Astyanax mexicanus: one gene and its partners. The protein of the gene in region 3 purifies or fractionates together with the protein of the main gene of each other region. This does not show direct contact. Links are inferred from orthologs where the notes say so. Each region holds a gene or a part of one and is shown on either strand. Other genes may lie near its edges. The genes, in order: anks3, ankyrin repeat and SAM domain-containing protein 6 and nek7.

The links.
Region 1: the proteins of nek7 (region 3) and anks3 purify together in Homo sapiens (affinity purification with mass spectrometry; 3 studies listed by BioGRID and IntAct, with this or other methods). This does not show direct contact. The link is inferred for Astyanax mexicanus from reciprocal best matches to the Homo sapiens genes NEK7 and ANKS3.
Region 2: the proteins of nek7 (region 3) and ankyrin repeat and SAM domain-containing protein 6 purify together in Homo sapiens (affinity purification with mass spectrometry; 3 studies listed by BioGRID and IntAct, with this or other methods). This does not show direct contact. The link is inferred for Astyanax mexicanus from reciprocal best matches to the Homo sapiens genes NEK7 and ANKS6.

What each region holds. Positions count from the first base shown.
Region 1 is NC_064413.1:15,005,220-15,016,363, forward strand, and holds the start of anks3 (ankyrin repeat and SAM domain-containing protein 3), read right to left. Parts: upstream 4,457-11,144; 5' UTR 4,307-4,456; intron 3,250-4,306; 5' UTR 3,234-3,249; coding exon 3,058-3,233; intron 1,953-3,057; coding exon 1,754-1,952; intron 1,622-1,753; coding exon 1,500-1,621; intron 1,393-1,499; coding exon 1,311-1,392; intron 1,204-1,310; coding exon 1,086-1,203; intron 864-1,085; coding exon 726-863; intron 1-725. Other genes in the region: c6h8orf33 (UPF0488 protein C8orf33 homolog), read right to left, coding at 6,129-6,343, 7,220-7,366, 7,477-7,567, 7,655-8,079, 8,197-8,221. UniProt on the Homo sapiens protein: May be involved in vasopressin signaling in the kidney.
Region 2 is NC_064408.1:108,797,424-108,808,899, reverse strand, and holds the start of ankyrin repeat and SAM domain-containing protein 6, read right to left. Parts: upstream 5,115-11,476; 5' UTR 4,857-5,114; coding exon 4,522-4,856; intron 3,329-4,521; coding exon 2,802-3,328; intron 1,510-2,801; coding exon 1,465-1,509; intron 1,262-1,464; coding exon 1,057-1,261; intron 1-1,056.
Region 3 is NC_064423.1:21,308,794-21,320,105, forward strand, and holds the start of nek7 (serine/threonine-protein kinase Nek7), read right to left. Parts: upstream 4,663-11,312; 5' UTR 4,318-4,662; intron 1-4,317. UniProt on the Homo sapiens protein: Protein kinase which plays an important role in mitotic cell cycle progression. Required for microtubule nucleation activity of the centrosome, robust mitotic spindle formation and cytokinesis.

The DNA of each region.
Region 1 (11,144 bases), on a different chromosome or scaffold from region 3:
GAATTCTGGTTCTTGAACCAGTTCCTTATGGATTATGAGAATCAAGGTGCATTTCAGTGAACCAGCCTGCGTTTCTACCAGTTTTAGTGGAACCGTGAAAATATCATATCATACGTCATAAACAGAGAGTGTTGCTCCTGTACAAACAGACCCACAGACACCCACAGATGTTGTCATAGTTCATGCTAAAGAACATTGTATTTTTCGGTTCCCACTGCGAACAAATGTTCCTGGCTCCAGAACCTACTTTTGTTCGTGGAAATGTGGCAAACCGGTTCAAAATTAGGTCCGCAAACCAGAACGGTGCCGGTTCCACATCGGTGGAAAAGTGCTATTAGTTGAATGTTAATGATTCTTAACCCTGATCCTAAATTATGAATTAAATTATGAATTAACCATAAAACCTAACCCTAACCCAAACCTTAACTTAAACCCTAAATCTAACTCACAACATAACCTCAAAATGTAAAGATTAGATTTCAGGTTAGTTGGAGTTGGATTTAGGGTTACATTCAATACTGAATCATTTACTTTCACCTTAGAGTTCAGTTGCATTTAATAGACATACATTTGAATGTTAAGTATCTCTGAGGCACCTATAATGGATCATCCAAACATAGTAATACCAAATGAGTGAACGTTTGTGATTTTTTAACATAGTGGCAAATTGATTATCTACTCTTAGTAGACTTATGAAGTGACTATGTGTGTGTGTAGGTACATACCATGTTTGGGTCCCACTCTAAAACGGGCTATGGCCTGTGGTCCATCGTGTATGCTGGGCCCTCTGGTTCTGCTACGTGTCGATCTCAGTCTAGGAGCTGCGCTGTCCTCCTCTGATGAGCTCAACTCCTCATACATACCTAATCACCAGAAGGAGAGGGAGAGAAACAGAGCTACATCCTCAAATATGACAGCTATGACAGATATGAGGTCTCAAAGATTCAAGGATTCAAGAAGACTTTATTGTCTTTCGCATCACATGTGGTACATGAGGTGGAACGGTATTGTCTGTGCTTGTCAGAGTTTTATTATGTGTGTATAAATAAGAGTGTGTCTGCCTTTATGCACCGTATGTGTCTGACCTTGCTTCGCTCTCATACAGTGCATGTCTATGAGACTCGCGATCTTGGTGTGGCCGTACGTCATGGCTAACACTCTCGCCGTCTCACCCTTAGAATTCCTCTCCTCAACTCGAGCTCCCTGCAAATCACACACATACACACCCACATTGAGATGACACAACACATGAACAGCTGCTGACACACAATAAGTCACAGATACACACTCATGCACATACACACACTCACATGATCAAGCAAATACTGGACAATGATTTCATGGCCTGATGCTGCAGCCTCCATCAGTGGAGTAAATCCAAACACTGGCTCTCTGAAAAACCAATGGCCAAAAGGTCAAGCTAAACGTCTGTCGAACAACTTAAAATGTGTGCGGGTATTCATACATGTGTGATGTGTGGAAGTGTGCTGGCATCTTACTTGATATTTGCATTTGCGTTGTTATCCAAGAGAAATTTCACCATCTGTTGATGTCTGTTGCTTGTACTGTGCAGAAGGGCTGTCCAGCCTCGCCCATCCTTCCCCTCAAGCTCTGCTCCTTGCTTTTTATAGCCAATCAGATGCAAGAATATACAAACTCAGGAACACTTGTGAATAATCCAGTGTGATTAATAATCTAATCAGCAAACTTGTATTTTAATTATTTCATTAATCAACCAATTAATATCCTGTACCTGAAGAAGGAAGTAAGCGATGCTCTCATTGCCGCAGCTAGCGGCCAGCATTAGCGGTGTTAGACCTTTAGCAGTGCTAGCATTAACACTAACACCAGACTCCAGGAGAAGGTTAGCGATGTTGTCATGACCAATGTACGCTGCATACATCAGTGGAGTCCATCCACCAAGGTTCTTCCCATCCACATCTACATCCCTTCTAAAAAAAAAATATATATATATATATATATGTATTAGTGCTGTCAAACGATTGCAAAAAATGATCTAATTAATTACGTCCTCTCTGATTAAATTAATTACATTTAATTGCATTAATCATCAAAGTATTTTAAACTGTACATTTCAAATACATTTAAGCTGAGGAGCAAATGAATGAATAAATAAATAACTTGAATAGACTTAAAAGCTTCCTGTAATGAACATCAGTCAGTATTAGATGCTGTTAATACTGTTCACCTAAAAAATTACAAAAAAAAATTACAGAAGACGCTCACACATGCCAGAGGTTATTTTCAGGAGATTCTAAGCTACTTAAACATAAACTTAAAGAGTAACTAAACTATAAGACATTTTTACATTAATAGGTAAAATATATTGCTCTGTAACCATAAACATACCAGCCCTGTGTAAAATGCTTACATAATAAATGCAAATAATAAAATAATTTAGATTTTTAAACCATATCTTAATCAATCGTTTAGTTAGCAAAGTCCAAATAAAATTAAATGCTAATTTAATGTTACGTATTATTTTAGTATGTTTTATAATGATCTGCCATGGGACTTTACGCATGAAAAACAAAATGGCGAAAAAAATGGTGATGAAAATTTAGCAAAAATCACTTGATACTGACAAACTCAGTAACTGTCATTCTTAGATTAATGACTAAAACTTAATCTCATACTAACTTAGTAACGTTAATCACACTTTTTAGGATAGGGAGCAAATCTCATTATCAGTATTAACTACTGACTAAGTTAAATTGTTAATTAGCTACTGTTCTTGAAGTAAAGAGCAAAACTTTAAAACTCTTAGTACTGACTACCGGCTTATTTTTTTATCACCATTCTTATCCCATAATAGCTCAGATCCAGTATTAAAATATTGATCCAAATTGTTTTTTTTTTTATCTTATTGTAATAAAAAAACCAGATCACTTCATATTTTAAAGTTGAGGTGGGGGTTACCCACCTCTAGGTTTCCTTAAAGCGTATTATTGTTGAAATGGTTGGAACAATTATGACCAACTCAGAATTGATTAGACTGAGCAGCTCAGGCCGATATAGACAGACAGTATCATGTACCTCTGAATACACTCCACCACCACGTCGTACTGTCCGATGGAGCAGGCGGTGTGGAGGTCCAACGGCACTCCGAGCTCCTCCGGCCGGATCAGGGCGCTCCCGCTGTGGCCGAACCACACAGACAGACTTGCCCCAAGCTGCTCTGACTCGCTGGCTTCATCGCTCAGCTCAGACATCCTCCAGCCAGCGAACCTGACCCAACACAACAACGAGCCTTTTATTACAGAAACTTACTGCGAGTCCTGCTCTGCAGAAAGGGAATCCGAGCAATCATAGCACTGTGTACCAGCGCTGAGAGTTTTTTAGCTAACCTGCACAACACCGCTAGGTTATGTTAGCTAATAGTAAGTTGGTGTAGAACAGAACACTTTCAGTAATTTCTTGAGTATATATATAAAAAAAAAGATAATGAGAAGCTCTAAATACTGATTAATTAGCTAGTTCACTCAGCTTGCAAGCTAGCTGCCGGTGTTGTGTCGAGTTTTGGTACCTTGCTAAACCGTGCTACCCTAGTGTATCGTAAAAAAAAAATGCTATACAAAGCACCATGTTTATAAAAAATACTCTAGGTAGAATATTTAAAAATCCCCAAGCAATATATCAGGATACAGTTAGAGGTAAATAGGGATAGTGTTCCGTTTTTTATTTTTATTGCTCACTTATTATTACTTTCATTATTATTATAATTATTAACTGCAATTTACACATTTGTAACACTCAGACAAAAATGACATAAGGACAGAAGGTTCAGGCTGTTAAATGCACCCAAGTAAACTTTTGTAGAACTATCATAAAACACAAACATAAAATAGATTTGGGTCCGCGCATGCGCATTGGCGTTGAGAAGCACATTTCGACGGGTAACACAACTCGACAGAACACCGAATTCCGCGATTACTGAGTTCCCTGCGGGAGAGAGCCCCACTGTATGCTGCCACAGGGACTTTTAAAACTTTTAATAACATTAAGCTAAACACACTACTCTCGCTTGAAAGCACTGTTAGTCAATACAATCACATTAGATTATCATTTGTTATCCAACTCTTAATGTATGTATTAACTGATTCATTCGCTCCAGTTCAACTGTAAAATAAAAGCCTATCCCTGTGGATAAAGATGTTTTAATAAGGGGAACTGGGAAATGTGGGAGAGTTATCAACAGACACGGATATTAAATGGCTCTTATGAGCAAGCTTTCGCTGAGTGAATGTTACAGTAAGAAATAAAGAAATGTAGTTAAGTTACTTACTTATACGAGCAGGTAAAGTTTCTGTTTGTATGTTTTTCGAGACGAACAACTCCATGGATTTGTATCCTAACGGAATGGATACAAATTCGTTTCGTACACAAGTTCTCTCATCTGTTCGGGCTAGCTTTCACAGGACAGACAGGGATTTGTAGTCTTTTCAACTTCCCTCGTATGGATCTGAAGCGCGTGTCGTAAATTAAGGAACTACATATCCCATGAGCGCTCACTGCCGTAGCCGTCTTTACGTTTGACAAACTTTACAAAAGTTAGGGGTAGTTTTTATCATTATAAAACTATGTTTTAATAATAAAACGAATTGTTGTGTTGGGTGAGCTTGACGCATAACTAACGTGTTCATTTTAGCAAAATAATTTTTTTTTCAGTTCACTATATTGTATAAAACTCCGCCATACTTTATGTATCCATGGTAACCACAACAGACTCTATACCATTTAGTTATTTAACCCTCTATGTCCTAGTGTTGCCCTCAGACACCAAACCACATTTTTTGTTTAGATAATTACATTTTACATTTTCATACTATGTCAAGCCTTATTTATTTACTTACTATTAATATAATATTACATGGCATATCTACAGCTCTGGAAAAAAGAGACCATTTAAAAATGATGAGTTTCTTTGATTTTACCACATTGAAAACCTCTGAAATATAATCAAGAGGAATATGGATGATCACAAGCCAGCAAACCAAGCTGAACTGCTTGAATTTTTGCACCAGGAGTGGCATTAAGTTATCCAAAAGCAGTGTATAGGACTGGTGGAGAACATGACAAAATGCATGAAAACTGATTAAAACCAGGGTTATTTAACCAAATAAACTGGTTTCTGAACTCTTAAAGCTTTATGAATATGAACTTATTTTTTGAAAGCTCTGCTTTTTTGTAATTTCAGCCATTTCTCATTTTCTGCAAAAAAAATGCTCTAAATCAAAATATTTTTATTTGAAATTTGAGAGAAATGTTGTCGGTAATTCATAGAATAAAACAACAATGTTCATTTTACTCAAACATAGCAAAATAAAAAAAACTGATTCAAAAACTGAGGTGGTCTATTATTTTTTTTCCCAGTGCTGTATGTCCAATACAAGTGGGTCATAAAAAATGTGTATGTGCAAGAATATGTGAAAAAGTAGATTTGCCTTTTTGTTTTCTTACAATATTCTTACATTCCTAATGTTAATTTACTAAAATAGTGTTTTTTATTCGCTGAAGTTTACGTTTGCTATATCCACAGGGACCCTTAAGCTTCCAAAAATTATAGGGTTCCAACTAAAAAAAAAATTATAATTCATGCCCTAGATGGTAATCTAGTTTTGTATATTCCCAATATAAACTGGTTTGAAGAACCATTACTGACTTATACTGAGAAAGAAGCATACATATTTATTCAAGTGACATAATTGTATTATATAATATTTATTCTATTATATAAAATGTATTTTGGCTTTTTTTAAACACTTTTTGTTTACTTCATAATTGCATATGCATTTATTCTTAGTTTTGATGTCTTAAATATTAATCTACAATGTAGAAAAGAATAAAAGTAAAGAAAAAAAAACGTAAAATGAGAAAGGGTGTGTCCAAGCTTTGCACTTGTACTGTATATTATTTTGTAATTGAGAATTACAAAATCAACCTTTTTTTAGAATTTTTATTCACCAAGGTCAAAAAGCCTTATCCATGATCAACTTGTATTTGGTTCAGTTTGCAATAAAATTCAGGTATACAGTGATAATACCCCAGAACTGCACAGTATATCCTCCCCCAATAGTGTAGCTCCACTGCTGCTTATCTGAAGTCAATCACACGTCAAAGTTGAAGCAAAATTCCTCTTGAGAGGGTCTGAAAACAAACTGCTCCGTGTGTCCATCAGTCTGCTCGACAGCATGTGAACGTCCATGTGTGTCCTGGGGTTTGTCTGTGCTGGGCGTTGTGTCTCTCTTTGTCTCAGCACGGCGGTGGAACACTGGTCTGCGGGAAGGTTCTGACACAGCGCTAACCCTTGCTGTGGTCATAGCTATTGAAACAGGGATGACCAGTTAGTTGCCTTTTCACATAGAAAGGGATGAGTTTGAGAATCCTGGTCACATGCACATTTTGTTGGTGTAAACAAGTCACTCAAACTTTAAATAGATAAATATATCTAATGTAAAATTACCTCTGCACACCTTACCATAGTTTTATTTTCTGTGATATGTTTAATTATGCAAACAGCAATTATGCTACAGAAAGGGAAGATGTGCATATGTACAGGATGCAAACATACTGAACATCTACTTGTAATTATTACTAAATTATTACTACTTGTAATAATTTTTAAATTAGACCAATTAAAACTTAAATGAATTAAAACTCTATTCATTAAAGATTAGATTATTATGAATGAAGAGCATTATTGGGCTAATATTAGATACTTCCTTCTTGGATATTGGAGAAAAAAAAAACAGAATAACTACATTCTAATTCTGTAACCAGACTAAAAATATTACGGTTTATTACAGCTGTGTTTTATCTTGTGGGGCAGTCCCATTTTTACATATTGATCTTAAAGCAACATTATGTTGTAATAGGAAGAATGACAACTCTCTCATTAACACTGGGTCCAGAACACTGCAATTGCACAATGCAACTTAGTGTTTTGTATCAGCAGTTCAAAATTGTGTAAATGTAAATTACTCTCCTTTACTGTGGGAAGTCCAAATGCAAAAATAGTGAAAAACATTAAAAAATGTTAAAAAATTAAATGAAAAACAGACCAGCAGTGTTTAAATATTTAGTGTTTAAACTATTTCTATTAGTTAATTCTTTAGATTGCCAGTACCAGGAAAGAAGAAACAGCAGAATGGCATGTCTAAATTCCTCCCACTGTACAAATAGTGAAACTATATCTCACCTGACTGAATGAGTTTGAACTGTTTATTTTTCTCCTCTTCCATCTTTTTCCTGTAATCTCCAGACACAGCTCTCATTACCTGCCTCTTTTTCACCAGAGGAGCTTTGGAGCTGCGCAGGGTCTTTAGAGCACGACTGGCTTCCTCTTCTATTACACAAACACACACAGATTTCAGCTTGTTTATCTTGTTTGTATGGATTATTGTGAATTAATGCAAGTAAATAACCATAGTGTGTTTAAAAGTATTTGTTACTCACTCTGCTTGGCAGACGATTTTTGAGTTCGTAGACCCAGCTCTAGCTGTTCGATGCACCAGTCCAGTTCTCTATTTAGCTGCTCATCTGGAGACTAACACACACACAAACACAATATGTGAAATTAAATACTTCGTTTTTTTAGTCTAACAGTAAGCTCAATACATGTGTGTTCACTAACCATTTCTACATTCTCCTGTTTTGGAGCTTCTTCAGTTACTTTATTAATCTTTTTCTGCTGCTTGTCCACCACCACCTCCTCCCCTCCTCCTCCTTTCTTCTTCTGTTGCTGCTGCTGCTTCTTTTTCTTATTCTTGACTTTGCTTTTTGAAGCAACTGCACTGAGCTCAGTGGCGGTTTCTCCAGTCTCTGTTGTTTCGGTCTGCATGGCTTCGTCTTCTGGCTCACCACTCTGTGCGGTTTGTACAGGGATCTGAAAGTTGAAAGCAAATGAGCTGCCTGCTTTCGAACAATCTGCCTGCTTGGGTTCTACCAGACTGTATCCCAGGCAGGGTGGGGCTTGTGAGAGAAAGTTAAAGGTGAAGGAGTTATCGCTTCGCTTCCAATGAAAATCTGCCAGGGTTGAGCAGTTTTCTCCCTGTGGCCCTTTTACAAAACACAGACACAAGGAAATGTAAATGTGGGAAAATGTGGGAACGTCAAAATACACAAAGAGCAGGAAGCTAAGAATAGTGGTCAGTTGCAAAGAACCCATTACTTTACCTTTTCCAGTTAAACCCTCTTCCATAGTCGGAGGTCACTTTGGGCAGAAATTACCTCAAAAGTATTTATTATCCCATTAATATCATGGAGAGGATGCCAAGCCTACAAAAAATAAAAATCCACCAAATTCAGTAACTTACCCAGCTACCTATATTTTGCACCCAGCTTGATGAGCTTCTTGTTGTGGTTCAGCTTTTGTTTCATTTGTCATATAATTATAACTCTAAAAGTAGATACATGCATGTTAAGATAATGCACGTGTTTATTTGATTAATTTATTTAAAATAATGTATATAATCAAGACAACATTATCACATCAAGTTTAGGCTTTGTAAACCATTACACTCCTATTAATTGTTAATGCATTACAGACTAACAGCCTGTACATAATTTATGATTTTAAGTGTAAATATTGTTTTATATTATTATCTAGTTATCTTATCATGCCTTCGTGCTGCATATATAATATTTAAATATTTTATAATACTGTATATGCCATATGGAATTTGGATTGCTTGTGTGTAATAAATAAGCACCTAGTTCACCTCAGAAAAGCTATGGCCACATCTGTGTTCTGTATAAAAATGGACAGATCAGGAGAGACTCACTCAAGCTTTCCATAGATCTTTCCATAATTTATCAATGACAGACTTTTCCCAATTCAGTTTTACCTACAAAACAGGTGTGTTTACTATCGTGTTCAAAACATTAAAAACTTACTGAATATCAACAAATTATATCTTTAGCTGGCCCAGTTCATCCAGCAGTAAGGAGTAAATTGGTCTTCAGCATAAACTCACCTCACATCCGGCTTTCAGTGGGGATAAATCCTTATTAATACGTTTCTTAAATAATTCTAAATGTCTTCTATATTCAATACAATGTGAAAATGTTTAAATATAACAGGTTTACAGCTTAACTAGACTGAAATAAAAACAGCCTAATGTAAACAACTGTCCTCACGCTGGTGCTGGTGTACACCTACTAGAGAGTCCGTCGAAGAATAGACTCCCTCACGCAGTGGTTCCCTCTTTTATTTTACGTACAGTTAGAAAGCACAACACGTGCAAAACAATTGAAAACAATAAATAGTATCTTGCTCGTAGTTTTATACTTATTTAAATTTATATAAAGCAAATGCACGCAAAACTTAAAACTGGCGATTTCTTCCTTACTGATAGTATTTCAGTATCCTGATTAAAGTGATAAAAAGGCCACACGAAACCGAATAACTTATAACAGCTAGTAAATTAATATGGTAAAAAATCAAACAACCTGTCAAAAGACAAAAAACACTTTTAGAAACATTTTTAAGCATAAATGTTGAAAATGTAAGACACTGAAGTGTTAATCTATTATTTTTTTTGGGAATAAGTATGGAACATAAAAGCTTTATTGTTTGTGTGTGTGTATAATATATATATATATATTTAAAAAACTCATGAAAAAAATATTTTATGGATTTGAATAAAATAATACCCCTTTTACCTTAACACCTCACAAGTAAAAAACGCAAACCCCAAAAGAGCATGATTACAATTCTAATGTATAAATAAAGCCATTAAACATCTGAAATTTATTAAAAGTCTGGTGCATTTAATTTAAATATACATAATGCAGATTTGAATACTCATGCCCCCCATAAATAAGAAGCTCCAGTGATCACTGCTAGAAATGTTTAAATACTTTGAATTTGCCTTTTTTTAATAATTATTCATGATTAAACATGCATGTTGGGATGTGTAAGTAAGACGGGATACTGTTTGCTTTTGCTTCTAAAGTAATGAGGATCAAAAGAAGAAGCAGTTGATTTCTTTCCCTCTTTTTCTTTATATTTTCTCTCTCTTATTTGGTGCGATAATGATAAAACGACGCGACGTAACCGTTAGCTGTTATGCGCCATTCCCCAGATCAAAGCGTCGATCTGTCCAATGGGAGGACACGGTGGGAGGGGACTTCTGCAGATGGCGTCACCGATCGCATAAATAGGGGGCAGGGAGGAAGGCTACCCACGGTCGACGGTCGTTGTTTTGGGTGTTCGGAGTAATCGAAACGAAACAGGTAAGTTAATGGCTATTTTTAATGTGTTTGTGGAGACTTAGGAGTCGGAGGCCTGTGTGCCTCTTAGGCTGTTTGTTTGGCTTGTTTTGGGTTCAGAATGAGGCTTTACTTTAACTTGTATCCTGTCTTCCTCCGCGGAGAGGCGAGAAGCGGCGGTTGGCTGAGGGCTGCTCCGCTCCGCTCCGCTGTGGCGCGGTAACCTCTTAGCAACAAGCCGCCGTTTAAAATCCGTTTCAGTATTAATGGATTAATTGTAATTCGACGTGTTTTGTGGGTATGTTAGTCTGCTTTAGAGGGTCGTTTGTCTCTATTTCTAAGAAGTTCGCTCATTGATAGAGAGCGTGTTCACCGGTGTGTTTTTCTCCGTTTTTGGGCTAAACAAAGAGGAGGCAGTAATTGTTGTGAGGGGACGCCATGTTGGCTTACAAGTGAAGGAGAAACGTGTGAGCTGAACGTCGTGTAATGGAGGGCGAGCTAAAAATTATTTATATATTGAGTTTTAGTATCGTTTTGTTTATAGTCCGAACAAGTTAGTCGTGTTTAAAAAAAAATCATTACTGATGTGTGTTCGTTTTGTTGGTTTTGTGACGGTTAGTTTATTTATTTTTAAGCTTGGCTAGCTTTAAGCTAACGCGCTCAAAAATACACCCCCCCTCCCCTTCAGTGTAACGTTAGCGCAGAGCTGGAGAGCCAAAGCTAACTAGTTAGCTAGTGAAGACCACTCTTCATTAACTTACGCTTGCTAGGTAGCGTTAATTTGGCTGTATTAGTGGCATTTGGCAACACTACTCAATAGTTCTCAGATTCAATGTAATAAAGAGGCACAGCAAAGGTAATTTTTGCGTTAGATGGCGTGTGAATGTGAGCTAGACGTTCTGTTTTTAATG
Region 2 (11,476 bases), on a different chromosome or scaffold from region 3:
ACAAATAATGATGTGAACAATGTCAACAACCAATAGGAGAGCTACGGGAAGCCGCAAGGCAAGCGCAGGAAAATTTGCAGAACTGGACATGAATGAGACTCCGCGGTTTTCCTGGAGTGTACAAAAGGAGGAGAAACTGGTGGAGCGGTGGAGTAAAGAGCAAGAGTGTCTCTTCAAAGTGTCTTCCCATTTATACCATGATAGAGTGAAAAATTTATTTATTAATGATTTAAGAAAAAATATGATATCTAATATTTTCTTCAATAATTAAAAAAAAAAAAAGACTAGTTGCAGTCTTGCAAATAGTGACCCTGCAAGATCTTTGCAAAATCTTAGTCTGTGAGTAAAAAGTCTGTGACTTGTCTTTAGATGTGAGAGGGTGTCAGTTTTTAGTCTATTAAAAGTCTGTTCAGAGTCTTTTTTAAAGTCGTCTAGTGTGTGGTTAAGTCTAAGAAGGATTCAGAGTTCTGTTGCATTGTTCTGCTGTTAAGTGACACCTGCACTAATATGACCTTAATGACAAAGCCATCAAAAGTATATATGCCTGAATCCTTACCAAAAAAGATAACAGAATTTTCAGAGGTTAACTGAGCAAGCCTAATGCATTTTGTAAATTTAAATACAGGCTGCAAAATTTAATAGAAATATAAATTAAATGCTGAAGACGTATAGAGCAAGACTTATACTGCAAAATCAATTCTAAGTGCACCTCCAAATTCAAAATGGACAACCTCAACATGTGCAAGCTAAGTTTTTAAAAGACCAAAAATCTTCTCTGCAGCAAGGTGGTTAAACAATCTCACAGAACTTTTTAAGGACGAGTGAGGGAATACCCTTGCTTTGGCCAACAATCCCTCCATGTCTCTATATCTATAAGTTACCTTGTACACAGTTCAATGGAGTCTCAGTGTGACTATATGTTTTAGACCATGATATTCGTACCATGACAGTTCTATAGAGATGAATGTACTGTTGCACCCCTAATATATTAGCTATGATTCAAAATTGGTCCGTAATAATATTTTTTGAATATAGTATATTTTACATTTGTCCTACCCATGATACGTAGCCTGCATAAGAGCTGTCCAGCCATGGACCCCATCCTGTTTGTCCACATCTGCATTCTTCTCCACCAGTAACTGCACCACCTCCTGCTGTCCACTCACTGCTGCTATCATTAGAGGAGATGCCCCATCTGCATTAGCCAAGTTCACCTGCGATGGATCCTCCTCTAATATCTCCTTCACCAGCTGAGCATTTCCTACAACATTGAATCAATGAATCATTGGTGTCAGTTCAAATTCTTGTGAGATCTTCACCGGAAAAGGATTAAAAAAGCAATGCAAAGACATGCAATGCTTTACCCCAACAGTAGAGCAACAGTATGAAAATGATCTTACCAAAACAGAGTTCATTAATGTGCAGAGCTCTTCTAATGCTATTCATGTGCTCCCTGTTACTCACCTAGCTTTAGGGCACTGAAAACATCAGGTCTCTTCTTCTCGGCATCTGTTTCGATTAAAAAACAGAAAAGGAAAAATCAGCACAGTGCATTTTGATGATGGTGCAGGATTAAAGAAAAAATACATAATTTTTTTACATTTTTCCAATCACGTTTTTTGACTACTGCAACTAAAAGATGAAACTAAGAGTCAAAAACTGCAACCATTCTCTATATATCCAATTATTTGTAGACATTCCCTCTATTGAATGCATATAGATGCTTTAAGTTGAACCCATTGCTGACACAGACAAACAAATGCACACACAACACTTATCTAGAAAAGTAGACTACTACCAATAGAACAGGAGGAAGACAGACATGAATCTTTCAGCACCATGCCTAATGTCAGGAATGACTGAATGTTCCATCCAGTACTTTTGGGATAAACTGGGAAGTTTGGGATAAGGTACAGTTAAGTGAAAGTGATCATCCAACATCCTTACCTTACTAAAGCTTTAGTTGCTGAATGCAACCAAATCCTAACAAAAAGGCTCCAAAATATTGAAGGAACCTTACCTTGACACTGAGGAAAGTTACTCCAACAAATAAATAATGAACTTTTTTTAACATCTTGAGACCCTGCATCCTTATATGGGGATATTACATTTCTGCTTCTCTGCACAATAATAGTTTTTTTTTATATTGACCATATGGCCTCATATGGAGACACTGCCCCTAACATCTAGTGGTCACATGACAACATTACACTAAATTGATTGAAAACAAGATGGCAGGAATCTGAGCCAAACGTTTCTACAGCCAGTCCAGACAGAAACAAGTGGCAGGTAATAATAACATTTTATGTTTGAAACCAGTTTATTTACTTACTGTTTGTTTTCCACTAATTTGGTCCTTTGATCCCAAATAGCAAGAATCATTTTTAAATGTTAAAACGAACTTTTGTCCCAATATGAGGACACTAATTCTACATCCTACTAATTCTAAATAGCTAGGGGAAATTAAGTGTGCTGCTTCCCTTTTTAAATTATTATTATTATTATTTTGGATGGGAGGATGGTTGTATGTTGTATTCAAAATTGTACATTTTTAATAAAAAAATATTTTTAAAAATGCAAGAATGAGTCTCAGGAGGTATTGGGAAGTTACATACACTTGAGTTCAAAAGAAAAAAAATGAATGCCCTTTGTTCATATCTGTCCATTCTGTGTCAACAAAATTTTTAATTTGAAGTCGTGTTCACACACATTTGAATATATATAGTGTATGTATAAACAGTATAAAATATTGTATCATCTGAATACCAAAGATTCATATTATATCCGTTTGTTGGTCTCACCTGGTTGTGGACGAACTGTGGTGATGGAGTCGAGGTAACTCTTCACCTCTTTATGTTTAAGCTGCAGAGCCACTTCAAACGCAGTTTTGGAGAGTACATTCAGGTGATCAGGATCAGCACCTCGCTCTACCAGCAGCTGAGCTATGCTAGCCTTTCCACTTAAAGTAGCTAACATCAGCGCGCTCCATCCCGTGGTCTTCTGAGAAAAGTTCACATCAGCCCCCCATTCTAACAGCAGTCTCACCATGGCTTCAAAGCCGTGCTGAGCACTACATAACAATGGTGTGATATCTAGGAAGTTCTTCCCATTGTCACTATGGTTGCTATTGTTCCCGTTAGCATTGCCCTCCACTGCAGAGAGGTGGTCAAAATCATCCACAAAAGCTCCGTTCTCTAGAAGGAGTTTAGCGACGTGCGCGTGGCCTCCTCGCACGGCCATGGTGAGCACGCTGGCACCCAAGCGGTTCCTGCCGTTGATCTCCGCTCCATTCTCCAGCAGGATATGAGCCACGTTTAGATGACCAAATCTGTAGAGATGAACACAGAAAGTTAATTTTCTAAAATCTGACAGCTTTCTGACACTTAAACAATCAAAACTGAAAACTGATTTAATTCAAGTAACTACATTTAAACTGATGTGTAGTCTGTACATGCCTGTACTCATTTACACGCCTAAATTATCTTGTTCCCACAAATTAGCACCTTGTTCCCATGCCTTAAGAAATCGTGGCCAAAACTTAATTTTCTCATTCACATGCCTTAATTTTCACTTTCCCACGCCTTAAGATCTCATTCCCACATCTTAATAAGTTGTGGCCACACATTAGGATCTCACTCCCATGCCTTCATAAGTCGTGGTCACACATTATTATTTTTAGCATGATGTCACCTTAAGGGCTCCATATTAATTTACAGAAAAACAAGCTTTTTCATTCTCTGGCCACAACTCAATTATCTCATTCACATGCATTAATTATCTTGTTCCCACTCATTACGATCTTGTTTAGACACATTAATAAGTTGTAATCATGCATTAGGATCTTGTTCCTACGCCTTAATAAATCATGGCCACGACTTATTTTTTTATTCCCATGCCTTAATTATGTCATTCCCATGCCTTAATAAGTTGCTGCCACAACGTATTTTTCTTATTCATATGCCTTAATTATCACGTACCCACGCATTAGGTTCTTGTTCTCATGCCTCAATAATGCGTGGTCACGCCTTAGGATCTCATTCCCACGCCTTAATAAATCGTGGCCACGACTTAATTTTTTTATTCACACACCTTAATTGTCTCGTTCCTACGCATTAGGATCTCATTCCCACTCCTTAATTTGTAAGTTGTGGTCACTACTTAATTATCTCATTCAGATGCCTTAATTATCTTGTTTCCACACCTCAAAAAGTTGTGGGCACGCATTTTTTTATGTTTATGTATATATATCATTTTTTTGCATGATGTCACCTTAGGGTTTTGTATTACTTTACAGAAAAGCAATCTTTATTATTCTCTGGCCACTACTTAATTATCTAATTCACACGCCTTAATTATCTCGTCCCCACGCATTAATAAGTTGTGGCCACGCATATTTTTTTTAAACACAATGTCACTTTAGGGGGCTCTGTAGGCCCCACAAGATAACTAAGTTAGTTCTAGCTGGATATTATCTGGGCAGCTTGAACTCGCACCCCTGGTCAGAGAGAGCGGTTACCCCACCTCGCCGCCTGCATGAGCGGGGTCCAGCCGTAGTTGTTCCGGCTGTCCACGGACGCCCCTTTCCGGAGCAGGAACCGCACCAGCTGTTCGTGTCCGCTGGCGGAGGCGAAGTGCAGGGCCGTGTTCCCCTCTTCATCCGTGCAGTCCACCGGTACCAGCGGCAGCCCGGCCCGCACCGCGTCCACGCTGCACTCCGAGACCGAGTCCAGGCGGCTGCGGGACTGCCTTCCCGACTCGGCCCCGGGGTGCTCCAGAATCCGCTTGGCGCTGTCGTAGTCTCCCTCGTCGCAGGCGCGGAACAGCAGCAGCGAATTCGCCGGAACCCCGAAATTCATCCTGAGCTCCGGGAAAACTTCTCCTCCTCCACCACCACAAAACTTCTTCTTCTTCTTCTTCTCCCACTGAGCGGTTTACTGTTTTTACTGGGTTTACTGGCGGCCCAGGCTTAAACAACATGATAATAGATAATAAAACACAGTATAATGGTGTTTACGGATCCAGCAGCACGGAAAATCGCATCGCGGTGGTCTATTAGAGTATTAGAGTAACTGTGTTCTCCTAACTTAACTTCTGGAGTAACTGTTCGCCATATCCTTGGCAACTCGCTGTTAGCTGTGTGTGCGCATGCGCTATCCGTAGACCACTGCCGCTGTCTAAGAGGGGCCTGTCCCAATTCAACAACCAACTCAGCCACCCCTCAGCTGCGCCCCGGCTTGCTGGTCAGTGAGAGCAGAACTACAGTAGATCTGAGAGTGTGGTTCTCATAAGGATCAAAGTAAAACTTCCTCTGATATTATAGCATAGCATGGCAAGTTTTTTTTTTTTTTTTTGTTTTTTTACATTTTGTCACCTTACAAATACAAACTTACAAAATTGTATTGAGATTTCAAGTGATAGACCAACAAAAAAATCATCACATAATTGTAAAATGGAAAGAAAATGATTTAAAAAATGTAATCAAATACAAATCTGAATTGTGTGATGTGCAAAAGTATTCAGAATCAATACTTTGCTTAGAGCCACCACAATTACAGCTGCAAGTCTTTTGATGTATATCTCAACCAGCTTTGATAGATGGATCTAGAGACTGAAATTTTTGCGCATTCTTCTTTATAAAACAGCTCAAGCTCAGCCAGGTTGGATGGAGAGCGTCTGTGAACAGTAATTTTCATGTCTTGCCACAGAAGCTCAGTGATATTTAGGTCAGGACTTTGACTGGACCATTCTAACACATGAATATTCTTTGATCTGATCCATTCCACTGTAGCTCTGACTGTATGTTTAGAGACATTGTCTTGAATCTCCTCCCCAGTCTCAAGTCTTTTGCAGCCTCCGACAGGTTTTCTTTCAGGATTGCTCTGTATTTAGCCCCATCCATCTTTTCATCACATCTGACCAACTTCCCTGTCTCTGTTGAAGAAAAGCCTCCCCACAGCATGATGCTGCCACCACTATGTTTCACTTTTGGGGATGATGTGTTCAGATTGATGAGCAGTGTTACTTTTCTGCCACACAAAGCATCTGACCACAGAACCTTCTACCACATGTTTGCTGTACAAACAGCACTTGTAATGTATTTCTTTTGACAGTGGCTTTCTTCTTCTTGCCACTCTTCCATAAAGGCCAGATTTGTGGAGTGCATGACTTATAGTTGTCCTGTTGACAGATTCTCCAACCTGAGCTGTGGATTTCTGCAGCTCCTCCAGAGTGACCATGGGCCTCTTGGCTGCTTCTCTGACTAATGCTCTCCTTGTTTGATCTGTCAGTTTGGGTGGATGGCCATGTCTTGGTAGGTTTGCAGTTGTAGAATTAATTTTCCATTTTTGGTGCTTAAAGCTTGCGATATGTTTTTACAACCTAACCCTGCTTCTCCACACCTTTATCTCTGACCTGTCTGGTGAGTTCATTGGTCTTCATGATGCTGTTTGTTCACTAGTGTTTTCTACCAAATCAATGAGGTTGATGCAGAACAGCTGTATTTATACTGAGACTAAATTACACACAGCTGCAGTCTATTAACTTATTCAGTGACTTCTGAAGGCTATTGACTGCACTGGATTTTATATAGGGGGTTCAGAGTAAAGGGGGCTAAATACTTTTGCACATCACATTTTCAGATTTTTATTTTCGAAATTTTTTTGGTTGTAAGTTGACAAAGTTCAAGGGGTATGAATACGTTTGCAAACCATTGTAAATGGTTGTATATATTAATATAAATATTCAGTCTAACTGTAAATAAGTCTGTGCCTTATTTGAACCACAAATATGTAATTGAGTCATAGATTTGAGTCAGATATGGGCCAAATGTAATGAAATTTATTGTAGCCCTGTGTCAGTTCTGGCCTATATTAGAATCCGATGTGCTGGTTTGGACCTGTTGTGGAAAAATAAGCCGGGCTAAATTAGTTTGCCAGATTTGTTACAGATGTTGTCACTGGTTTAGGCCAGATTAGGGCCAGAGTTAATTTATCCCATGTTTGTCCCTTTTTAATTTTCTCCATTTTAGATGCTCTGTTCAGTGTGTAAATAATTATGGATGAATAGATCAGTAGAAATGCTGTAAAATTTAAAACACATGACAAATTACTTCTATTCAAAGTTTAGAATATTTTTGCCTTCTCCTGTAAAGTTGTCATTTTTAGGATAGGCTACATGTTTGTCATGGGACATGCTTAAATCATTTTTTATATATACATAACATATATCATATATAATTATATAATATACATATAGATTTCTGCATGGATGGTTGTAGTGTACAGCTCTGAAAAAAATGAGACCACTTAAAAATGATGGGTTTCTTTGATTTTACCAAATAAAAAAAAAACGCTGGAACCACCGAGAGTGGCATAAAGTTATCCAAAAGCAGTGTGTAAGGCTGGTGGAGGAGAACATGCCAGGATGCATGAAAACTGTAATTAAAAAACAGGGTTATTCCACCAAATATTGATTTCTGAACCCTTAATACTTTATGAATATGAACTTGTCATCTTTGCATTATTTGAGGTCTGAAAGCTCTGCATTTTTTTTTTGTTATTTCAGCTATTTCTAATTTTCTGCAAATAAATGCTCTAAATGTTCATTTTACTCAAACCTATAAATAGCAAAATCTGAGAAACTGATCTCTGAAGTGGTCTCTTATTTTTTTCCAGTGCGGTATATTAGTTGTCAGTATTCCTGGTGGTTATAGTATTTCAGTATTCCTGGTTCTTTGTGCATTTATTAAGGTATGGCATTTTCTGGTCATTTATTGGCTGAATTGGCCTACACCAAGACCAGTTGATACAAGCAAAGAGCAGACATTTAGAGCTCAATAAGAAAGGGTAAAAACAAGACCTTAGGTAAAACCACTCTGAATAACTTACTTAATCATTCTTAAATGAAATATTATGCTAAATTATGTTTGATAAATAGTGGAATTCTTCTTTAAAAGTGTGTGAAAGGTATGGCAACCTATTACATGCAGCTACAAAGTAGATTTTCCGAAAAATATGACAGCAGAGTGTACAAAAATACAGTTTGAAGTAAATATAAAAGCTGATGAAAGGAGATAAGATTGTATGAGCAGCTGTCCCATATTCAGCCACCAGAGAGCGCCTACAAAACACCATATCCGTCTTTTCCTTTTGGTCAGTGCCGTTTAGCGAGAATAGGTTTTGATGAGCTACAAAGAAGCCTTGTAATTCCATTTGAATTAATTGATTAATAAGGACCATTCTGTGCTTTGTAATAATGTTAGTAAAGCAAGCGTATAACATTCTCTTAATCTTTTACTGAGTTAAACCATTTAAAATGAGAAATGTGGTTTGCCAAATGTAATTTCATGAGTCACTGCCTTGATTCATATGAATACTGTAATGCCAAGTTAAACCCCTAGCAGCCAATATTTTACACATTTTCTCAAAACTTTACCTCTTTTGTTCTGCACTGGAGCTGCAAGGCTATTAAATAATGTAAACGTATATCCCACCAGTCTGCATGGCTAAATCAGCTAATGTCTTGGTTGATATGGGCTAAACAACAATATTAAACATTTTACCTTAAACTATATGCTTTAAAATCTTAATGATGCTCCTATGATTTGTAAAAGAGAAAATACTGTCTGTTAAGGCTAGGCTGAGTGTACTAACTGCACTATGTAACTCTTGTGAAGCAGACAAGAAAAGGCATGAAGGTATCTGTGTTTGTTTTGGCCTCTGACTCTGCCTACTGCTCATTCCCTAGCACTAACTCTACCTCCTAGGTTGCCAATACACATCAGCGAGCGGTGCTGCAGCATGGAAACTAGCAAGTAGGGCTGGTTCAGCTGAAACTTTAGCTGCTACACAGCCTAAAAAGCCTCAGCATGTCTCAAAAAAGCTCAGTGACCAATTGGCAGTGAGTTCGAAAGTTTAGACTTAGAGCTCAAAAAGACTACAAGACCGACATCAAGCTGGCTACTTTTCTCCTGAACAGGTAAGCTAATTGACTAACTAATTTAGTCAGAGAAATTATCAGAACTGCTAAGTTTTTTTTTTACTAGGAACTGGTGATAAATTAATTTAAGGAATTGAGAGCTCACAATGGATTGTTTAGATTCAGCCTCCCCAACTTGGCAACCTGAGTAAGCTTGTCTGGGGAGTGGTGGGCAGGGCAGACAACTCTCTGTGGTGTTTTTATATTGCAATGCTGTAGGTATTTTACACGCTCGCTTTAATTTCCGACTGAATGCTCCTTTAAAGTCATTAACCCTAAGCCAATGTGTCCAATCGTTTATCACCTTATGTGCTTTTTCCTGGTCAGATTCGGGTTGCAGTTTATCTACCATGTGTTGGAGAAGAAACCAAATTGAGAACATTGAGAACACATCAAACTCCTCACATACAGAGGCCAGACAATTAAACCCACAACCCTGGGCCCCATTTTTAGTGTTCTTCATCCATCGTTGTTACAATATGTTCCTCAGGCTTTGGTCCATGATTCGGTCAGCATTGATTTTGACTTCAGATCTACAAAAAAGTTGTTTGCATGGATGTGTAGTGTATGCTGCCACCTCATGATGAGCAGTGTGTACAGTGTAAAGTGTGTTTCAGCTCCTCTATATATGCTTTGGATTAGTACATAACCCTTCAGTTTTGCTCTGATGGTTTCTCCTTTGGTTCATCAGCTCTACAGTGAATGTGTGTCCGTGGGGTCGTTAAACTGTGACTGTGGGCCTCTGAAAGACAACTGATCCTAGTGTCTTAAACCATATGTTCTGTAAGCATGGTGAATAATGGTCCACCAGTGGAACTGACACAGTTAAATCCCATTTACTTTTTATATGTAATGCAATATTCTAGAAAAATACTTCAAGAAAGACTAAAATAACTTTTGTTAAATTTGTTAGAGCATGAACAATTCAATAGGCCTTTGAACCTCAGGCATGCTTAGTAGTGCTAAGAACAAGTTTGGGAACCCCTTATAACTTTTATGATTTTCCTTTATAAATAATTGGTTATTTGGATCAGAAATTTCAATTAAAACTATCATATAGCAGATGAACACAGCGATATTTAAGAAGTGAAATGAAGTTAATAGGATTTACAGAACGTTTGCAGTAATTCTTTAATTAAAATTAGGCAAATGCATAAATTTTGTCACTCTTGTCATTGTATTGATTTGAATACCTTTAGCACTAATTATTGAAACACAAAATTTGTTTGGAAAGCTCATTGACCTACATTCACACAGGTTAATCCAATTATGAGAAAGGGTTAAGGTGCCAACTGCAAGTAATCAAGTACTGTACAATAGCAACAACTCACCACCCACCTAGCAACAATTTAGAAACCCATGGAACCACTTTAGCTGCATAATAATTGTGTTTTCTTCAGGAAATACATTTCTAATTTTCTTGTTTCCCATTATTGCAATTTCTTTGTGACCCTCCCTAAACAAATTGTGAAATAGGATCACAATCTGACTCTACATATGTAATCAACTCGTATTGTTTTCCAATCCCTGCTGGTGCTAATCTGGTGTATCACGACTGCTATAAGCCCATTGAAACCTTTAAATTTTTAACAGCTGACCACAGCATTGCACCCTGCGGCAATTTGGAAAATATCTAACGGACTCTGTATAAGGAGCGGGTTTATGTAATCGGTTCTCATCTCCAAAGTTTGCCCTGACCTCAAATAATCAAGGCCTTTGGGGAGATTTTGAAATAGATCATAAAAGCTTCAGCAGTATTCCCCAAGTTTAAATATTTCTTTCCTCTTCTGAAATCTCCTTAGATGACAGAACAGAAACTGTAGAATACTGGACCGCTGAAAACAGAAAAAGCCCTCAATGAAATGAGCTGAGTAAGCTCAAGGGTATAAATAAGAGTGGTGGTAATTTATATTTTAAAGTAATAGGGACACATGACTGGACTGCTAATTCATCTACCTTAAATACTTTAATGTGAGGTCTCAGGGTATAGTACCAATCATACATTTGGACACACCTTTACATTCAATGATTGTATTATTTGTTTTTCCTACTTTGTAAATTAATACTAAATGAAAAAGTCATCCAGAAGATGAAGGAACACCTAAGAAATTATGTAGTAAACTTAAAAGTGTTAAACAAACCAAAATGCTCTCTAAGGTACACTGCTGGCCAAAAAAGTTGCCACCTGGATTTAAGTAAGTAAATTATCTGTTGTTGCTGCAGTTAGTCAGGTCTAGGTTCAGCAACAGTACATGCAGAAAGAATGAAGTCAGCTGACTACCTGACTATACTGAATATATACCAGGTTATTCCATCAATGGATTTCTTCGCTGATGATACGGACATATTCCAAGATCACAATACCAGGATTCATGGTGCTGGAATTGTGAAAGAGTGATTCAGGGAGCATGAGATCATCATTTTCACACATGAATTGTTCACCACAGAGTCCAGACCTTAACCTCATTGAGAATCTTTGGGATGTGCTGAAGAAGACTTT
Region 3 (11,312 bases):
AGTTCAGTGAAAAACAGTAAGTAATTCAGCCTGTAATTTTTTCAGAGGACGCCTGAGAAAAACACGTACAGACGGGAATAAAACCACAGAGGACACCCCATAAAAGAGAAAATTACCCCAGAACACCCTGAGAAACTATTCCCGTCCAGATAGGGCTCAACAGAAAATTAGAGCAATTATAAATCAGTCAGTCAGAATTTGACAAAAAAGTAAAGATCTCAGACTTTATACGGCTTTAAATATCCAACAACTGCTGAAGTGAGCAGCTGAACAAGCAGAACCAATTATGCACTCTTGTAGGTCATCACATGCCTCACTCTCTGACTCCCAGATCTAGACTCAAACTACAGGAAAACAGTATTCACAATACAGTAACAAATCTGCATTCTGAGCCCAATAACATCAATCAAAGTACACAGTGAGTGTACTGTTACACCTCTAACAACAATCATCACCTAATATGCTAATGAGCATATTAACTGTTTAAGTTAAACAAATCTTTAATGAATAAAAAGGAACTAAAACAAACAATTACTTTAATTACCTAAACAAAAACATTGGCTAGCTGACTAATGACTCTTTCCCTTTAACTAACCTCAGTGCAAATCCTCTGGAATTTAGGAACTTTACATCTTCTGCCTACAAACAAAACAAGGCCCATTAGAAGCCATTACAAAAAGAGCAATTGTTATATAGAAAGAATGTCTAGTTAGAGATGTTGCACTATACTTATATGCCACTGATGTGTTTGTTTAGGCCCTAGTCTGATTCGAGTATTTTAATGTTTTTGAGATGACACTGATCTATTTTTTGTGTTGAACAAAATACATTGCTTAATAAGCTTTTGTATAATATGATAAAGATTGACTCTATAACCTGAGCCTACACAGTCTGAAACAAATGTTTGGGTATCCCTGTCAAAGTTATAATAAAATCTAAATGTAAAAAAAAATATTAATAAAAAATAAAAATATAACTAAATATTTATTGTGTCACTAATTTTAGTATGATTAATATGAATGGGTGTTCCCCTAAGTATTACTTTAGGCTTAAAAAATTACATCATAATCGGGCCTACATTATACAATATAATATATAAGAAGAAATAATCACATAAAAATTAGATAAAATTTACAAAAGTTACAACAAAATGGGGCCTGACTGAGTCTCAGTTGTAACAGTAACAGCAAATGATAGCTTTTGGCTTTGAGATCAACACTGTCAGTTTCAATGCAAAAGACCCACAGTATCACTGATGCACAGCATTTTTAATTTGACTTGTCCTTGTGGCAAGTCGCTGTCATCCACAACAATTCAAAACTAAACACTCATCTAAAACAGATTACACATTGTGTCTTGTCATAATTATGGCCTGTAAAACAGTTCACTAATCAGGAAATAGCTCTTTAGCTAATGTAATGTAAAAACGAATGCCAAAATAATGATCAATTTCAGAAATGTATCAGGACATTCTGGTTGTTGATTTGGTTTCTTTTGACACATCTGAAATAAATAAATAAAGCCTGGGATCAGTGTTTTTTTAAGGTAAAAACTGGGTTTAATCTCCGGCACCTGATGTTTGGGCAGAAATCCTCAGCAGTACAACCATCCCTTCTCCAGCACACAGAGAACACTGACACACAGCTCATAAGGATGGACTGATTGGCTTCACATGCTTTGGAGCATCTGCAGCACAAGCATGTTTGCCCACACCCTCCGAGGCTGGCAGCTGTAATGTAATTAGGGACAGATTTCTGTAGAGGACAAAACTGTGAAAACTGGTAAAATGATGCAGGGTGGAGCATTAGGAGATAATGCAACTGCATCCGGTCTATATTGTCAGTTTCTGAGAACTTAATCATACAAGTAAAAATGCAAAGGTTACAATGATCTAAAGTGGGATTGCGCAAGATGTATGAGAATTACAAAATGCAGAAAAAGTGAATCCAAAGTAAACTACCTGACAGCACTTCATCAACCTGACAGGGTAGCCAGACTGCTTCTTGTTCTGTGAAACAGACACCCTGAGCAAAGTGAAAAGCAGCATTACAAAGACAAATTTGAGGGCGAAATTACAAGGGTTTATAAGATGTCTGTTTTGGACATGGAGCTCTATGGAGTTCCATTTATCTAACTAGCATCTAAAAATCTTGATCATTTGTACTGGGCACTCTTATGGCATTCATGACCTTCAGACTTAATACAATAACTAAATAATAAATAAACTAAATTAAAAAAAATTTTATGCTTTGGACATTTTGACCAATTACAAAAAGCTGAGGCCTGTATGTGCATGTGTTGCAAAACAGAATGAGCACAACAGATTATGCAGCAGATTTCTGTATCTACTATAACTGTATATTTTTTTTATAAAAAGAATGTCTGTGGCATCATTCATGTTTGTAAAATCTTAATTTTAAAGTGTAGCTCCTGTCAGTTCAGATCTTCCCTGCCACTCTGACAAAACAAGACTGTAGACTAATATCAGTTAGGGGTGGGCGATATGGCCCTAAATAAATCACAATATTTCAGGGTATTTTTGCACAAACTATACTCTTGGTGGTATGACAACATTAATTTCAAATATACACTACTGAAACAACAAATTAAACATTTTATAATGCAATAATATTGCATATATGATATGATATAACTCACTCGCATCTAAAATTATCAACAGATTGAAAATAAGAACAGTGTGAATTTTACTTTTGCTACAAACAGCAAAAAATTCCAGTTCCATGATGGCATATGGCCCTAAACTAATACCAACAAATTTCAGGGCATTTTTGCAATAACAACATTCCAAAATATGGCACCACCTTACATCAATAAAATTGTCATAAAGGTAAAAACCCACATTGCAGAGATCTAAAAATAAATTACAGAGTGGCAGTGGTGGTAAAACATGTATTAGAGCAAAGTTATTGGTAATTTGACATCAAGACCTGTTCAATACCTGTACAGATATCTAGACCTGATATTATTCCTAGTATTTTACAGCTTATATCTAAAATGGTATCTCTAAAAGTTAAAAATAAAACATACTGTTTCGGTGGTGCTATTTTAGACTAAAACAGGATTGAAGAAAATCACACCACTTTTAAGGAGATCTTTTCTTATCATAATAGCCATAACAAATGTGATCTACATAATGAAAAAAACGTTACGTATGTCCCACTTATACACCTCATTGTACTGGACGTAGATATTTCTTGTAACATTATATTATAACAAAACCAATAAACACATACATTTAAAACCAAGATATGGTAAGGAATGGTGTAATAAAAACACATTATTAGTTTGTTGCTTGACGGCAACATCATGCCATAGAGGGTTAGAGTAAACTGTTTGTATTTTACAACGAAACAGGCACATAAACAAGTAACTTAGAAGCCACATTTAATGTAACTAATTAGGCAAAGTTCATTATTAGTAACGCACTAGGTAAATAGCTAACCTAACCCAGCTGGTTATTTAGTGAGCTAAGATAGTTTAGTTAACAGGTTCCTCAACAGTGCCTCTGTCATGAAGTCACAGAAACAGCTAAACAAACTATTCACTAGTGTGTGTGTGTGTGTCACCTCGCTGACAGGTCAAGACGTTAGTAAGCTCGCTAACTGTGAACAGTCATTTCACGACTTCCTGGTAATGAGTCACAAAAAGCAGGATTTTTTAAAAAGTTACATTTAGGTTTTAAATTTAATCAATCAAAATAATAATACTCTCAGCTACATAACCATATCTGCGTTAGCTAGCTAACTTAGCTAACTCCTGACTGTTTAGCCCACGTCAACCGAGTTGCTACGCTAGCAACGCTTGAATGTTAGCCTAGCTGGCTAGCTATCTAAACAGCTAGCTGAAACTTTTCCAGAGTGAGCGTTTCCCTCATTTCCAGCGAATTCACTCATTTACAAACCTAATAAAACGCGTTTGTCCTTAATAATCGTTTTTACAACATATATACACGCGCTTAGTTTAGTGTTTGACTTATGAGACGACTTTAACTTCTAACTTCTGAACAGCGCGCAGGCTCGCTACCTAGCACTAAAGGTGGGTAACCCCGGTCCAGAAAATAAAAATCCTTCCCAGGGTTTTGTACCAACTGCCTGGGAGCGCCCTGCAGCAGAGCAGCCCAGGCACTTGGTACAAAACCCTGGGATGGATTTTTACTTTCCGGACCTGAGTTACCCACCTCTACATAGCACTAATTTAGCTTACGCTAGGTTAGCTCTCTAGCTGACTGTTGACACGGGATAACTCACAGTCGTTAGCCGGCTAGCTAACGGCTAGCTACCTCCGCTATATCCTTACCAGGAAGTGCCAGCTTAGCTCCCCACACTCCGCGCTCTGAACTCCGCACAGTCGACGGCTCCGCGCCGCTCAGCTCAGCTCAGCTCAGTCCCGGGTTGAGCTTCTGCTCACTTCTCCCGCCTCAGCGCGCGCAGCTGCTGCAGCTCGCAGGGTTCCCGAGGGTAGTCCAAGACTGCGGACTAGTGAAGATGTGCGTGTCCCCAGAGCGATCCTCTAGCTCGCCATTCCTGAGGTGTAAAACACACATCCCAGCATGCCCGATGGAAAGGGGGCGGGCTCCCGCACAGACTCCGCCAACAGCAGCGGCGAGAGCAGCCGGAGCTGGAGACTCTGACACCCGACTGTCTCACCGACTGGAGCTCCGTCTGCGGCTACCTGCTCTCTGTGCTGTTTTCTGACTGTGGAAATGACCTAGTTTTATTTTGGGTAAAACCGAAATGCATACATTCTATGTAAAAACACATTTCGTGAGGAGAAATTCGAATTAAATAGCTTAAACTCTAAACTAACTAGCTATTTAGTTAACTGTTAACTACTTCAAGAAGAAACCGATTGTTAGTTCTATTTATTTGCCTTAAAAAGTGTTAGGCTATCTACATGCTAGCTAATACATCTTGAAAATACCCAAACACACATTTAATAAGGGGAATTTCGAGTCAAGTTGGTAACTAACTAATTTGTTATTTTTATTTTTCTATTTTTTTTTTTTGGGGGGGGGGGTGTCCTCTGTGATTTTATTCCTGTCCAGAACGACCATATATGTATATTTCTCAGACATTCTCTGAGAAAATTACAGGCTGAATTATTGAGTTATTAATAATAATAATTATTAAAATGTGTTAGCTACATCCTAATAATAAAAAAAAAACCCATGTATATCAGTATATCTTGTCTTTTGTGTGTCCACAACATATTTGTTCATATTTCATAAAAATAAATGTAATAAAAATTGCAAAAAATAAAATAGGATTTACTCTGAAAGAACACACGATTACCAATACAGAGGAATGTTAGTCTTAAGTTTAAAGTACTTTTGGTAGATTTGAAACAATATTTAATGAAAAGTGGTTAACCCTAAATATAACATTTTTCTTAACTAAATGGTAAAAAATATTAACAAATGAACTATTTTCTTCTTAATTAAATGTTTTACGTCTCATATAACTACAGTTTCTAAAAAAAAGGTTAAAATAAAAAAAAGTTATGAAATTGTTGTAATTTAAGTCACATTACAATTTTAACCTAAAATAACAGCCATGTGCCCACAGTAAAAAAAAAAAAAACATGTATGAGCTGCTAATTTAATTTATCTAATTTAATTTTAAGCTGTTTTCATAAAAAATATCAAGCTATTTAAAAGTGTCCATGAAGTCCCTGTTCACCCTGTGTCATCTTGGGATAAACCCCCCTTTAAAAAAGTTACCTTTGACATAATTGACATCACAACCTTAATGGTGTTTTATATTCAAGGCACTGAAGACCCCTGCTGCATGTTCATCAATTAATAATATTAATTTGACTTCATTTTGTCTCTAGCTGTCCACACTGTTGTGGTAAAATGTCAAGGTAATTAAAATATGAAAAATAATAATCAAATGTATCTTTGAAACATAACAAGGTCTCCATAAACAATTAAAAATGTAAATTGCATTTTAAAATGCCTTGAGAATTATTTTGCCTTTAGGTTTTGAATAAGCCTAATTTTTCTGGACTGTATATTTTCCCAGAAGTAATTGCACAAATTATATATGTCATTTTAGGACCATTTTGTACTAATCATATAATGATAATACAGACATAGTGCAATTATACCCTTATAAAAAGCAACAGTTTTAAATAATAAAAACTAAAAATGTTTAAATATTTTACATAATAAAACATAGGTTAAATAAAACCACTGTTTTCAAAGTTGATCATCTGCCCTTGCAAGGCAAAAACGTTGGACAAAATGATTGAGGTCATAATCACAAATTGTCAGTAACGTAATTATCATGACAGGCATGTGATTATAAACATGAGTGTAAGTGTAATTTCTTCAGAGTCAGATCAGATGAATAAAAAACCTGTAACTGCTGAATTTAATCAAGCTCAGGTTTAATAAGTATCTGCTGTTTACTAAACCATTGTGAGTTAAATAAACTTCAAATGATGCTGCTACTGCCACTGAGAAATCTTATCGAATTAATACAAATGTGTTAGTATCTGTGACATAAAAAAAAGACATGCAGGTAGCCTACACCCTTGCTGATGCTGTAGAGATTCATATGTATTCAAAGCTGATGATCTACAACAGTGCCTTCCAGGCCAGGACCTGCAGAGTTTGGGGCCACTAGCCTACAAGGTGAAAAACTCCAATGTAGGTACTAATGGTGCCTTTTTAGGCCTAAACAAAATTGTGCACCACTTGATTAAGTTGATTAAGACTGTTGAAAATATTATCCATCTAAAGTTTCAGTCCAATTCAGGCAATGTATATGTGTATATATATATATATATATATATATATATATATATATATATATATATATATATATATATATATATATACTGTATATATATATGTATGTACAAATAGTACAGAATATTAAATCTGTGCAGTCAACATAATTCACATACTTTACACTTACAGTAAATTTACACTGTACAGTCTCTGTTTCTTTGCAGACAATTTAGGATAAGTCTACTGTAGTCTAAATTCTCAGTCTGTCAGATGAAGTTCTGCAGTTCTGTTGGATTTTAGGTTCTATCTCCTCTAAACACAGACTATTTTCACTTGACTCCTATAAAAATGAATAAATCCTGAATCCTGCATAGATTCCAAGTATCTTGTTAAAAGCTAACAAAACTCAAAAGTTATTCTTTTATTTCTATTATCAAAGAAAATCCTGAATAAGCTTGATTTACTGTAGGAAAATTGAATACAGCAAGCTGACACCAGAATCCTTATATTGCATTTAATCAGACAATGCAGTCTGAAAGATATTTTTTCCCCTGTATGGGAAACAGTATTATCCACCTCTGTTTTGACAGTTGATAATCAACAAGTGATGTGTGCTGAATTTTTTTTCTCCCCCCCGCCTGACACTTCAATAGTGCTTCTGCTAACCTTCGCACAAACACCATATGAAAAAGGTAAAGCATGCACTGTGTGTTTTCTCCTCTTCTTGAACAACGGCTGAAGATTAAAAGAAACATCTCTGGAATATCTGTCAATTCTGTTGCCGAATAATGCTGGGTAGGATTTTAATGGTACAAGTTATATTGGGCTCCCTCAACACCCACATTTTCTCTCAATGAGATCAATGCCTTGCCATGACAGATAGGGACTGTCTTTAGTATCTTCAAATTTTGGGTTTCTGAGGGAATAATTAGATGGATGGATGAGAGGCAGCGCTTCTGACTGTAAAAGGGAGCTCTATCAAGACGCTCTGGTTCAACATGCGAGTCTGTTTTGCTGAAATCTGTCTAATAATCGCGCGGAAAAGTCTATTGTTCTAAAAGTAGCACACACTGCCGGTGCAGCATTCTAAACGTATTGTAAACTTTTTCTCCTTCGCCGATATTATTTGTTTTGCCGCAAGGACTTTTGTTTGATTTGGGATTTTTTTTTTCTGGGATGCAGATTAGAATTACTTCAGGGATTTTTTTTTCCTTTCCCTTTTTCCCCCCACTACAAACTTTAGAGTCTGGCTTATCTCTTCAATAATACAACACAGGTTTTATGGGTACGAGGGAAAGGATCACGTTATAGATAAAAAAAAAACAAAGACTCTATATTATTATATCTGTCGATAAAAATCAATAGCCATGGATCTGTCTAAATGATGTTTCTGCATGTGCGCTTGCTTGCGTGCCTCATGAGATCTTTCTTAGTAAAACATTTTTTTAACGCATTAACTGAAGCATAAATGACAATGATAAAATGCCCCAGGGGAAGCTAAGCATTTGGAATTACTTGCCTTTTAGTCTTACAGTGGAGAATGGAGATTCCAGGTTATGTATGTTTTCCAACAGTACTTCCACTGTAATATATATATATATATATATATATATATATATATATATATATATATATATATATATATATATATATATATATATACAACATGTCTCATAGAGTCCAGACACCCATTATAATTATGCTACTGATGGTCAGTTGTGCAAAATGGTGAAGGTGTAAATTGCACAGGAACAATATAAGAACAGCACTGTCAACAGAGTAGAGCTTTTTGAAGCAGCTGCATATGATCCTAGGGTCACCATGTCCAATGCCAGGTGTCAGCTGGAGGAGTGTTAAGTCCTTAGCCTCGAGCAATAGAGCAGTGAAAATGCATTCTCTAGAGTGTTGCAACTTTATCCAGATCTAAATATTTTACATCAGTAACTGAGATTTTACTAAAACTCTTGTGGCTGGATACAATCAGCACTGTTCCAACCATCTAGTGTAAAATCTTCCCATAGGAGTGGAGGCTATCGTAGCTGCGAAGAGCAACAAACACTTATAATTCTGTAAGCTTTAATGATGTTCTCCAGCCCCCAGCAACACCAAATACAAGAGCATTCTCCTCCATCTCTCTCTCTCTCTCTCTCTTTTAGGGTCTTCTCTGTTGGGATTTCTGGAGAAAAGGATGATGAAATACAGGCTGCCTGTATAATAACTGCTTATGATGTAAACTTTGCATTTTTGGTACACTTTTCTATAATTCATTAAACAAACAATAGTTGCACCCATAGGGAATTAACCAAAATAAATGAAGCTTGGTGAGCTGTGCCAGGCTAGACCAGACATTTAAAGTGTTCAATTTGTCAAGGAAATTTAGAGTATCCAATTTTCCTGATCTCCATGTTTTTGGACTGTGGGATGAAACTGGAATGACTCTGTCTTGAGACCCACCTTTGTCTTGCTGGAGACAACCAACAAATTTGTGTGTGGAGGCACCATAGTCAGCACCAAAATCAGCAGCAGTTGTCATCTGTCACATGTTCAGAAGGCCTGATGTCACGGTGTCACCTTGCCTTGAAGCCGGACTTATCCCTAACCGTATCAACACTTCCCTCTTTTCGTAAATCTGCAGAAACTGTGAATATTCAGGCTGTATTGGATGGTTAAAATACAGGACACCTTTAGGAACATCTACTTCTATTCATTTTGGCATGTTGTGGTACACACTACCCCTGTATGTGTAGCTTAATAAATCTAAAAAATATAGATTTTATTAATTGTTTTGTTCCTAATTAAGTAAGACAATAAATCATAAGACTGTAAAATAGTCATTATAAAACTAAATTTCTCTAAGCTATGTGCTTCACTGGCCCCTGTTACAGAGTCTATCTATGATAGTCTAGTTGACATATTTAAAGCATGTCTTAATGAATAACATCATTGCTCTGTATTTCTAAAGCCCCATGGAGGAACTAAAGCACCACACTGCAAAAAATCCATTGGCAAAAACTAGACAAAATACATGCAAATTAAGACAAATATATGTATATTAAGCAAACAAATCTGCTAATGTGGTAACCAAATTTTTCTTAGTAAGATTTCTTACAAAAAGCAATGGCAAAGTCTCAAAATGAGTAAGGTAACTCCTAAATCGAGCAAAAAGTCACTGTTTTTGGACACAAGAATCAGAATAAGTTGATTGCTGCTTGATTGTGCATATTTTGAGTTCAAATTACTTAAAATAAGGTACAAATTCTAAGTAAGAATGATTAAGATAAATATCTAACACTTACAATGCTTAGTAAGAGAAAAAGTCTTATCAGAGAAGAAAATAAAATTTATTGCCTTGCTAAGATTTCGTTTTTTGCAGTGCATGATTAAGTTAAAGAGAGATTTCAGGATTTAAGAAGGATAATGGACACTGACTTCAATACCCATCATAACATTCAGAAAATTTCAGTTCTAACGCTTGGAATTAAACACTTTTAAAAGTTTTAAATGACCAGGATATTGGTAAACTAACTGTATTGGTTCTCATGGACCGTAGTTTATATTCACATTACAAGACATAGGTGACTTATTATCTTATTTTGTCTTTGTTTAACACAGATCTGATTTTTTCAGGGCTGTGTGGACATGTCTAATATAACCTTTTCAAATCAGATGAGTCACTTACTTATGTGATCCTATGCGACATGAATAGGAACAGTTACAACAAATGTTACTTCTTTTGCGCCATCTTTGTACACATGCACTTAATGCTGTTGGTAAAGGAAATTAGTGTCCTTATAGAAGAGTCTGTTCACTTGGCGGCCATCTTTGCCGTACCGGACCGTTACTGGTCACACAAGACCAGACAATCTTTGTAAATGTGGAGAGACAAAATACATAATACTGAAGGTCACTAATTACAACTTCAACATATTTTAAATGCCTGATAAAATCTGATTTAAAATATATATATATAGAAATAGTTTGTAGTGTTTGGCTTATGATCTTTTTGCCTTGCTCTGGGAACTAATCTTCATGTGGAGGTTTCCCCACTTGCATGTTGACCCTCCTCCACTCATGGCTTAACCAGCTTGCAGATTGGCTTTTTTTTTTTGAATGGCCGTAAACAGATGCCATGTTGAGAACTATGAGGATAGTATGAACCACACATTTATGATGTCTCTGCAGAGGCAATAGCCATAAATGTATAATTTTGCACATGGATGTAATTTTAGAAACACATTTATTCAAATTACAGCCAGATAAAGAGTAACTTCCCATCATGAATGTGAACTCTCAAGATTGCCAAATCTGATCTAAGCTAAAAATGAATGAAAAATGTTTAATGAATCTTGTAATGTGAAAGTCTAGCCTTAGTGCAACATTGAACATCTTTTGTTTAATCATTAATGAGATTGGCTTAGTTTCTCTGGCTCTGTCCTAAATTGGTTCCAGTCTTACTTGAGTGGCCGCGATTATCTCGTTGCACTTTGTCCTGTGGAGTGCCCCAGGGTTCCATGATAGGGCCAACATTGTTTAATCGCCATATGCTCCCATTGTC